Drosophila melanogaster: one gene and its partner. The protein of the gene in region 1 interacts with the protein of each later gene in a pairwise test. Each region holds a gene or a part of one and is shown on either strand. Other genes may lie near its edges.

Region 1 (4,152 bases):
AAATAGGATACTTTACAAACCGCCATTTATTATTCCGACAAGATTCTTTTCAGGTTTTCGGGGCCTATTTTTTGGGACATTCTCTGGGTTTAATTTTAATCACCTTATAAAATGCTTATGAGATTTTTTGGGACATTCTCTGGGTTCAATTTTAATCACCTTATAAAATGCTTATAAGATTGATCACCGATTAGTGCTAGATTTCAAGAATAAGAATAAATATTGAAATTTGTCAAAACAACAGGGTTATCGCCTAGTAAAGTATATTCATTTAAGCTACAATATTATTAAATGTTTAACTACGTCGATGAACTTGAGTAAAGAAATCGTTTTAAAGTTCTCTTATAAAAAGGAGTGTTTTGATGTGCTTGCTTATCTACAGACTCATGAAAATGTGTGTAATAAACTTGTGTTGCGCAGACGATTTGAGTTTGGTGACCCCGATTCTTCCTCGCATTTGCTGAAATTTGATACTTTCAGGGAGCGAATACTTAAGTACAATAGTTTTTCGAAATATAAACTATTTACTTATGTTTCTCATTTGACTTTCCCATCGACTAGCGTAGTTGCAATGGATTTAGAAAGCAAATCAATTGGCATGGGAAGGGCTGGGACTGACGACTGAACTAATGACATTCGCATGTAAATTTCCGGCAATTTGGGCGAATGATTTAAACGCATTTAGGTGTTAAAAAAGGCGAAACCAGTTTTACAATTCAACATGGCTCGAGTGCCTGGCATTCCAATTCCCATTCCGATTTAGATTTCGAATTTTTTTGTGAGCACTTTTCGGCCTGTCGTCGATTTGACACATCACTCAAAGTGGGGAGTGCTCGCTGCGGTTCGGGTTAGTTTTGAAATCGCATCGGAGCTGGAAAACTGAATTCGAGTGAATGATGACACTCGCAGCAAATTGCAATCGAATCGCAATGATTCGGATGAAAGCGGCTCGCCTCGATTTTTGAGCATGACAAGATATACGTTTCGCGGCCATCGCTCAATAGTCAATACTTTTGTCCGCGCTTTCTGACAGTTATCATTCTGGGGATCCTAACTCCTTTCGCCGGCAACATCTTCGCCGAAGGCCAAAGGGTGTGCGGAAAAAAATATTGATGGGTTTGGCCAATTAAAGGTTGATTGATAGGACAATCCGGCAAGCCGGCAAGTCGGCAACTGCAATTGCCAATATCGATTACGAAAGTTAGATTTTAATTTTTAATTGCCGTTCGGACCCAGTCGAGGGTTGCTAAATTGGCCGTGCCACAGACCACAACAACCCTCCTTTCCACTTCTATTGCTATTATTATTACCATTGTCATTGCCGTGGAATTTGCTAGGGGTGTCTAGGGGTTTGGGTTTGATGCCATTCCGATTTGAAGTGCCCCGTGTCCGCGGGGCAAGTGTCGATTATGCGCGACTCGATGGCCACTCGGTTGACACACAGTTGGCGTTCGAAATTTACATTTTATTACTTTTACATGCCCGTGCAGCCGCGCGCAGGCATTAAAATTATTTACGATGCCAAATATTGTTGGTTGTAAATAATGCATTCTGGCAAATATCACTGGGCTGGATAGGAGTGAGGAGGGGAGGGTAACGGCCAATCGCTTGACCTTTGCCGCTAATTAGAGCCTCATTGTTTCCCGCCGAGCGAGGAACGTTTACGGAGCGTGTTTCCAAATGTTTCGCAAGTCTGTTGCGATTCGAGCACAAGTCGTTGACTGATAACACCTCTAGTATGGGATTAGCCGCGTCTCGAGCGCCCCACTCACTCACTCAGTTGAGATCTTTCCGAGATGGCGGCCGCTACCCCTGAAATCCAGTTCTACGAACGCGAGCTCAACATCCGCCGGGTGATCGAGGAGTGCGACCTGCAGCGCCTGGACCAGGCCCTCAACATCTGCGACCTGTCTAGCGTGGAGCGTAAGCTGCGCCTCTGGCAGAAGCTCCTGCCCAGGATCAAGCCCTTCTACGCCGTCAAGTGCAATGACGATCCAATGGTGGTCAGGCTGCTGGCCCAGCTGGGAGCCGGATTCGACTGCGCCTCCAAAAACGAAGTCAAGCTGGTGGGTTGGGAATAGTTACTACATATACAAGTGCCTTAAGTCCTGGTAGTGCATCTCATAGTTTTTGGTGCCACACTAATATGTTTTTATAAATACTTTAGTACAAAGTACTATATAGTCATGTTCCAAGTAATGGAACGTAATTCTGGGCCTTATCAATTTCTGAATGTAGGTTTTCATTTTTCAAGCGATTAACACGTGTTGTTCTAGAGCCCAGACATTGGTATTTGATTACTTGTCGGAATTTCGTATAATTTAATAACTTTATTATTCTTTTCATGAATTCAATTCAAAGGTCTTGGGCTTCGATGTCTCGCCGGAGCGTATCATCTTCGCCAATCCCTGCCGCCCTGTCAGCCATCTGGAGTACGCCAAGGAGCACCAGGTGTCCAACGGAACGGTGGACAATGAGTTCGAGGTATACAAGCTGCACACGCACTATCCCAACTCCAAGTAGGTGCACTACCGTCGGATGCGATCATTAGTATATCTATACGTTGTTATCCAGCCTGATCGTGAGATTCAAGAGCGAGGCCAAGGAGGCACAGTGCCCACTGGGCGACAAATTTGGCTGTGATGCGGATGTGGATGCAGCGGCCCTAATGCTGCTGGCCAAATCCTTGGAGCTGAAGGTGACCGGCACCAGTTTCCACGTCGGCTCCGGATGCAGCGAGCTGCAGGCCTACGATCGGGCCATCAAGAAGGCCAAGAACCTCTTCAAGTTCGGCGCACTACTGGGCTATGACATGGACTTTCTGGACATTGGCGGTGGGTTCCCTGGCAGCGATGACGTAAAGTTTGAGAAGGTGTAATGCAGTAAGCAGAGGATTTTGAAGCAATTGCTCAGAGGAAACTTTTTACAGATAGCCGAAAGTGTGAATACCTCGGTGCAGCGTCATTTTCCCGACGAACGCGTTCACATAATCGCCGAACCAGGACGCTTCTTTGTGGCGGCAGCCTGCACCTTGGTTTGCAAGATCCACGCCAAGCGGGAGATCAGGAACGAAGCTGGCAAACTGGACACCGTAATGTACTATCTGAATGACGGCGTCTATGGGTCCTTCAACTGCATTCTGTACGACCATCAAGTGGTGATTGCAGAGCATTATCTGGTAAGATTGTCCATTATCATATGCATTATTTTAGTTGTCATTGAACATTGTTAAAAAGAAGAGGGGTTCCCCTTGAATAGCTCAGACCTCTACATGTTTTTAAGACCCAATTCACTTCATTTTCCCACAGGACAATGCAGAATCTTTGCCACACCTAAAGTCCTTGATTTGGGGGCCAAGTTGTGACGCCCTAGATAAGGTAAGTCAAATGTTGCTTGAAACTTAGCAATACCAAGTAATGTTTTATTTCTTCTTCAGATTTCGGAGGACCTGCACTTGCCCAACCTAAACCGAGGCGATCTTTTGGGATTCCGAAACATGGGCGCCTACACCATGCCCATTGCCAGTGCATTCAATGGATTCGAAGTCCCCAAGACCCTGTACTTCCAAGCTATATGACTAAATCACTTACTCAATCCAATAAAACCAACATTTTGTGGACTCTCTATTGTTTACTTGCTTACAACTTTTATATGTAGTAGACTTGGGTTTATAAAAATACCTGGCTGGTGGATTGTTAGGCCCATAAATATCTTCATGTATGTAAAAGGAGCATTTGAGATGTGTATTTCGTAGCTGGGAATTCATGCGTAAACAATTTTGGATCTCACAACTTACGGTAATGTTACTATGAAAGTCAGTAGATCTGTCATACTTTTCGCTAATAGTTCTAAGTCACACAAATCATCTATTTAAAAGGCAGTAAGCGATAAAAGCCCAAAATTGTCATCCATCAAATATATCTTAAGTATCAGTTTCTTATAATTTGCCTAGAAATCAATCATGCAAATGAACTGGAACTTTAATTGCCACCAGTTCTAGTTTAATAAATTTGTTGACTTGACTCGTAGCATAATTTACGGATGCGTAGACCTTGAAAAAAAAAAACCGAAAAGCAATCCATCTCATGTCCAAAGTCGACATCGTTTATGTATAAATAATGTTTTTGTCACTTCCTAATAGATAATCCCAAA
Region 2 (3,844 bases), on another chromosome or scaffold:
TTTTCACTCTTTCTTCCAGCTAAATGAAATCTTCTAGGGGTCACTTTCCCGCTGAACGACATTGAACGGAGGACAGGGTCAGGTTCAGGTATAGCCTGTGTTCCAAATATGCTTTCCATTAGGTCCACGCCTGCCCACTAAAGCTGCGATGCTACGTGCTTCGGCTTGAAAGCCCCGCGCACTTTTGATAATACCCCTAAATCAACATAAACAGACAGATGTGATGCTATTACCCACTGCCACTGTCCACTGGTGAATTCCAAGAACTTTGGACGATACCATGTGAGTGGCTAACAATGAAGTAGGGGTACACCAACCAAGATGTTCCAGCCATTCAAGACTGGTCATTATCCAACAAGCAAAACAGCAAAGTTATCAAGATTTTGGCATTCATAGGTGCATAGAGGTTTATTTTTGATCTTGGATTTGCAGTTATGTTGCAATATATGAATATATTAATATGTAATTATATATTATAAGAAAAGGGAAGTAGTGCGACTTAGATAATCTGTATACTCTATTTTGCATAGCTATTCCCTCCATCAAATGTGAGCTTATTTGGTTATACTACGATTAGAACTGCGTTCCGTTCCCGATTTCTAAATGGGTCAGCGTCATCTCGAAACGAGAATCCGGGAATCGGCAGCAGACTCCACCGGAATATAATAAGGCCATTAACCTAATTCGAGCTTGTTATTGGCGAAAATATAGTCAAAACAGCAAATTCTGGAAACACTGCCGTCTATCGATAGATCTTGAATATAGATTTTAAAGCACTTCCCTTCCGATCGATAATGTCTATAGAAATATGGAAAAATCACATTTCTAGGCAAAAAAAAAAAAACCCCTATATGACACATTAATATATATGTACCTTACGTTATCTTTAAACATGCGATTTAACGGATGTTTAGTAACGAGAGAGTTCATTAAATTCACACGTGTTACACTACCCATGTAATTCACAGGCATATATTATATGTATTATGTAATTGCAAAAACCATTTGCATTTTATTCGTCTACGAAAGTTCAACGACTGAATGCGATAACCTGTTATGTGATTCGGAAAATAAACATATATACTTAAAATAGGAAAGCAGTTTTAATGGGAAAAAACTATATGAATGGAAATTTATTTAATTTGTTTTGCAAAAAAAAGAAGGGACTTTGCTTAGACAAAACTATAAAATGTACTATTCTACTTTCCACATAATATTGTCCCCATCTGTGCTACACTATTAATTGTTGCCAACTGATTTGTTTACAAAATTCTTTGGTTAATCTCTTGCACTAAAAAGACAACCTTGACTTAGCGCCATATCAAAGGAACTCGATGAACTTCAAGATGACAATCGATCAGGTTTTTGGCTCATGGGAAACAGTGGCAAAGCCAAAAGGGGCTTGAAAAAATTAGCTTATTCTAATATGAAAGTATAAAATGAAATGAAAAGTATAATCTATGTTAAAGCATATAGAGCAATTTGTTTGTTAGGACATTATCTAAACTATGTCTATTTACCAGGACCAGGCCCCCGATGCGTAATATTGGCGCACCACTCCATCAGATTCCAGAGGTTAAATGATGCGCCATGGGTCCGGATTACGGTGCCAAAATCCCAAACATTACAAATGGTTAATGGCACGGCAACAAGACCAGACGCCTGAACCCCGGCTTATCAGTCGATTGGGTTGTATAAAAGCCCCAAGCTGACATCCCCACCAGTCCAGAGCGCTTCTCCATACGGAATCGGAACCTGAGTTGCTCAGTCGAGCATAAATATATATACAATACATATATATGCACATATAGTTGGCCAATCGAAATCGGAATAAAGCTTATCAGTCGAAAACAGAGTCCAGTTGGCAAAGCCCGGAGGAAATAAGGCATCAGTACAGTCGTACAGCTTCAAGTGAAAACAAGTGGAAGATTCTTCAGTTCCCGAAATCCTCAAGTACCCGAAATCCTTTAAATCAAAATAATGGCAGCAAAGAGAATGGATTTAAATAGACGCACCTTTTTGGTGTTGAGCGGCAGCTCAAATCCTTTGGGTCAATCCCTGGCGCTGGAGTTCTGCCGTCGCCTGGCCACTGGATCCCTTGCTTTGATCTTGGATGAGGATCAGGAGCAGCTTCGGGAGCTGGAGAATCATCTCCGGAGCGAACTGAAGACGGAGAACGTTAAGGTGACAATCGGAAAGTTGGACAAAGATCACTCGAATGGTGTGCAGCTAATGGAACAGGCATTGATGGATAATTTCATGGCGGATAAGGACAATCAACGCTTCGAGCGTTCCATAATCCTTCACAACGAGGGAAAGGCGGCCACGCATATGCTCCTGGAACCCCAGAGCGACGACGATTGGAAGGCCTATGTCCAGCAGCAGCTCTATGCTCCGGTGGCGCTCAATCAGACGTGGCTGCAATCGAAGCACTTGGAGCGAGTGGAGAAGCTGGCGGTGAATGTGACCTCATCGCTGATGGTACGTCCATTGGTCCATGCTGGTCTGCTTTGCTCGTGCAAACGGGCCAGGGATATGTACTTCCGCGCCATGGCCGCCGAGGAGTATCGTTTCGGTGTCCATGTGCTCAGCTTCTCGCCCGGTCTGATGGACACCCACGAGGGACAGTGCGATGTGAACGGCAATCGGATCACTCCCGCTGATCTGATAGCCACGAAGCAGTTGCTCCAGCTGCCGAGAATCAAGCCCTGCCAGGCCACACTCAAGCTGATCAACATTCTGGAGGAGATATCCTTTGTCTCCGGTCACGATGTCGACTATTACGACACCTTCGTTTTATGAGTAGCACCGTGGCGGTGGGCTGCGTCCCCGATGGACTCGGTTCTAATCTTGGTTGACGATTTAAATGCTGTACATGACTTGATCGCCTTGGAAATTAATAAAATCTGGCCAATGTCCCAGATTTCAGACCTGCAAGTGCACGAAAATCAAGCACACGAACAGGAAAACGAACGAAAAATTATATTTTTATTTTGGGTGGGTGGGTAGAATTTTAGATTTCTATAGGTTTGCCATTCACAATATTAACATATATTGTTGATTTGCTACTTTCAACTGAATTTGAAATTGAGTCTATTTTTAATTAGAATAGACAGGAATCACCGAAGCACACTCCTTATATTTTACCTATAATATATTTAAAACTGATGTTCAAAAAAAGAGTACTGCAGAATATACTTAGTAATTAGTTACTATTGGTAAATTTGTATGTGCAGGCGTGAGTTTATGAGTCAGCAATGCACAACAGATTAAACAAATATACAGAATATACATATATATATATATATATTTGTTAGCTCAAAACAGAAAATGAGACAGATTGAATAGTCTCAGTGATAAGAAAACCCACACGTGTTCAAATGTATAGAATTTTGTATGTGTGGTGTTGCCGGGTCGAAAATTTTCAAAATTCCCAATAGACTGATTCTTGATCCGGGTTTTCAAAATTATATGTGAAAATTTGGCTACTGAATTTGTAGTTAATAACTAATGAGGTTTTGACAAATCTTTAATCTATACAGTTATAAATGGCTTAGTTCGCCTCATTCTGATTAAATGTATTTATGGTTTTCAATTTTTTTTTTTTTCAGTTTACTTTCAATGAATCAACTGTTTTATATTCAAGGCATACTTTTGGGTATTCCTTATAGAAAAGTAATTTAAAAAGCCATAAGTTGCTCAAAATGTTGCTAAAGCTTTCCTAATCAAATTACAAATGAAATATTGTAAAAAGCAATCAGGAATTATAAATGGAGCTTCCCTACAATGTTGCAAAGATTCTGTAATCAGTTGGATTTTATAGTTTTTCCCTTGGATGCGGGGA

What was found. Proteins that work in one complex are often made in the same cells at the same time.
Region 2: the proteins of Odc1 (region 1) and CG12116 interact in a two-hybrid assay, tested with the Drosophila melanogaster proteins (one large-scale study listed by BioGRID).

The regions. Positions count from the first base shown.
Region 1 is NT_033778.4:8,003,055-8,007,206, forward strand, and holds Odc1 (ornithine decarboxylase 1), read left to right. Parts: upstream 1-1,769; 5' UTR 1,770-1,796; coding exon 1,797-2,066; intron 2,067-2,361; coding exon 2,362-2,519; intron 2,520-2,574; coding exon 2,575-2,872; intron 2,873-2,929; coding exon 2,930-3,178; intron 3,179-3,308; coding exon 3,309-3,377; intron 3,378-3,436; coding exon 3,437-3,577; 3' UTR 3,578-3,618; downstream 3,619-4,152.
Region 2 is NC_004354.4:8,466,891-8,470,734, reverse strand, and holds CG12116 (uncharacterized protein), read left to right. Parts: upstream 1-1,722; 5' UTR 1,723-1,980; coding exon 1,981-2,802; 3' UTR 2,803-3,292; downstream 3,293-3,844.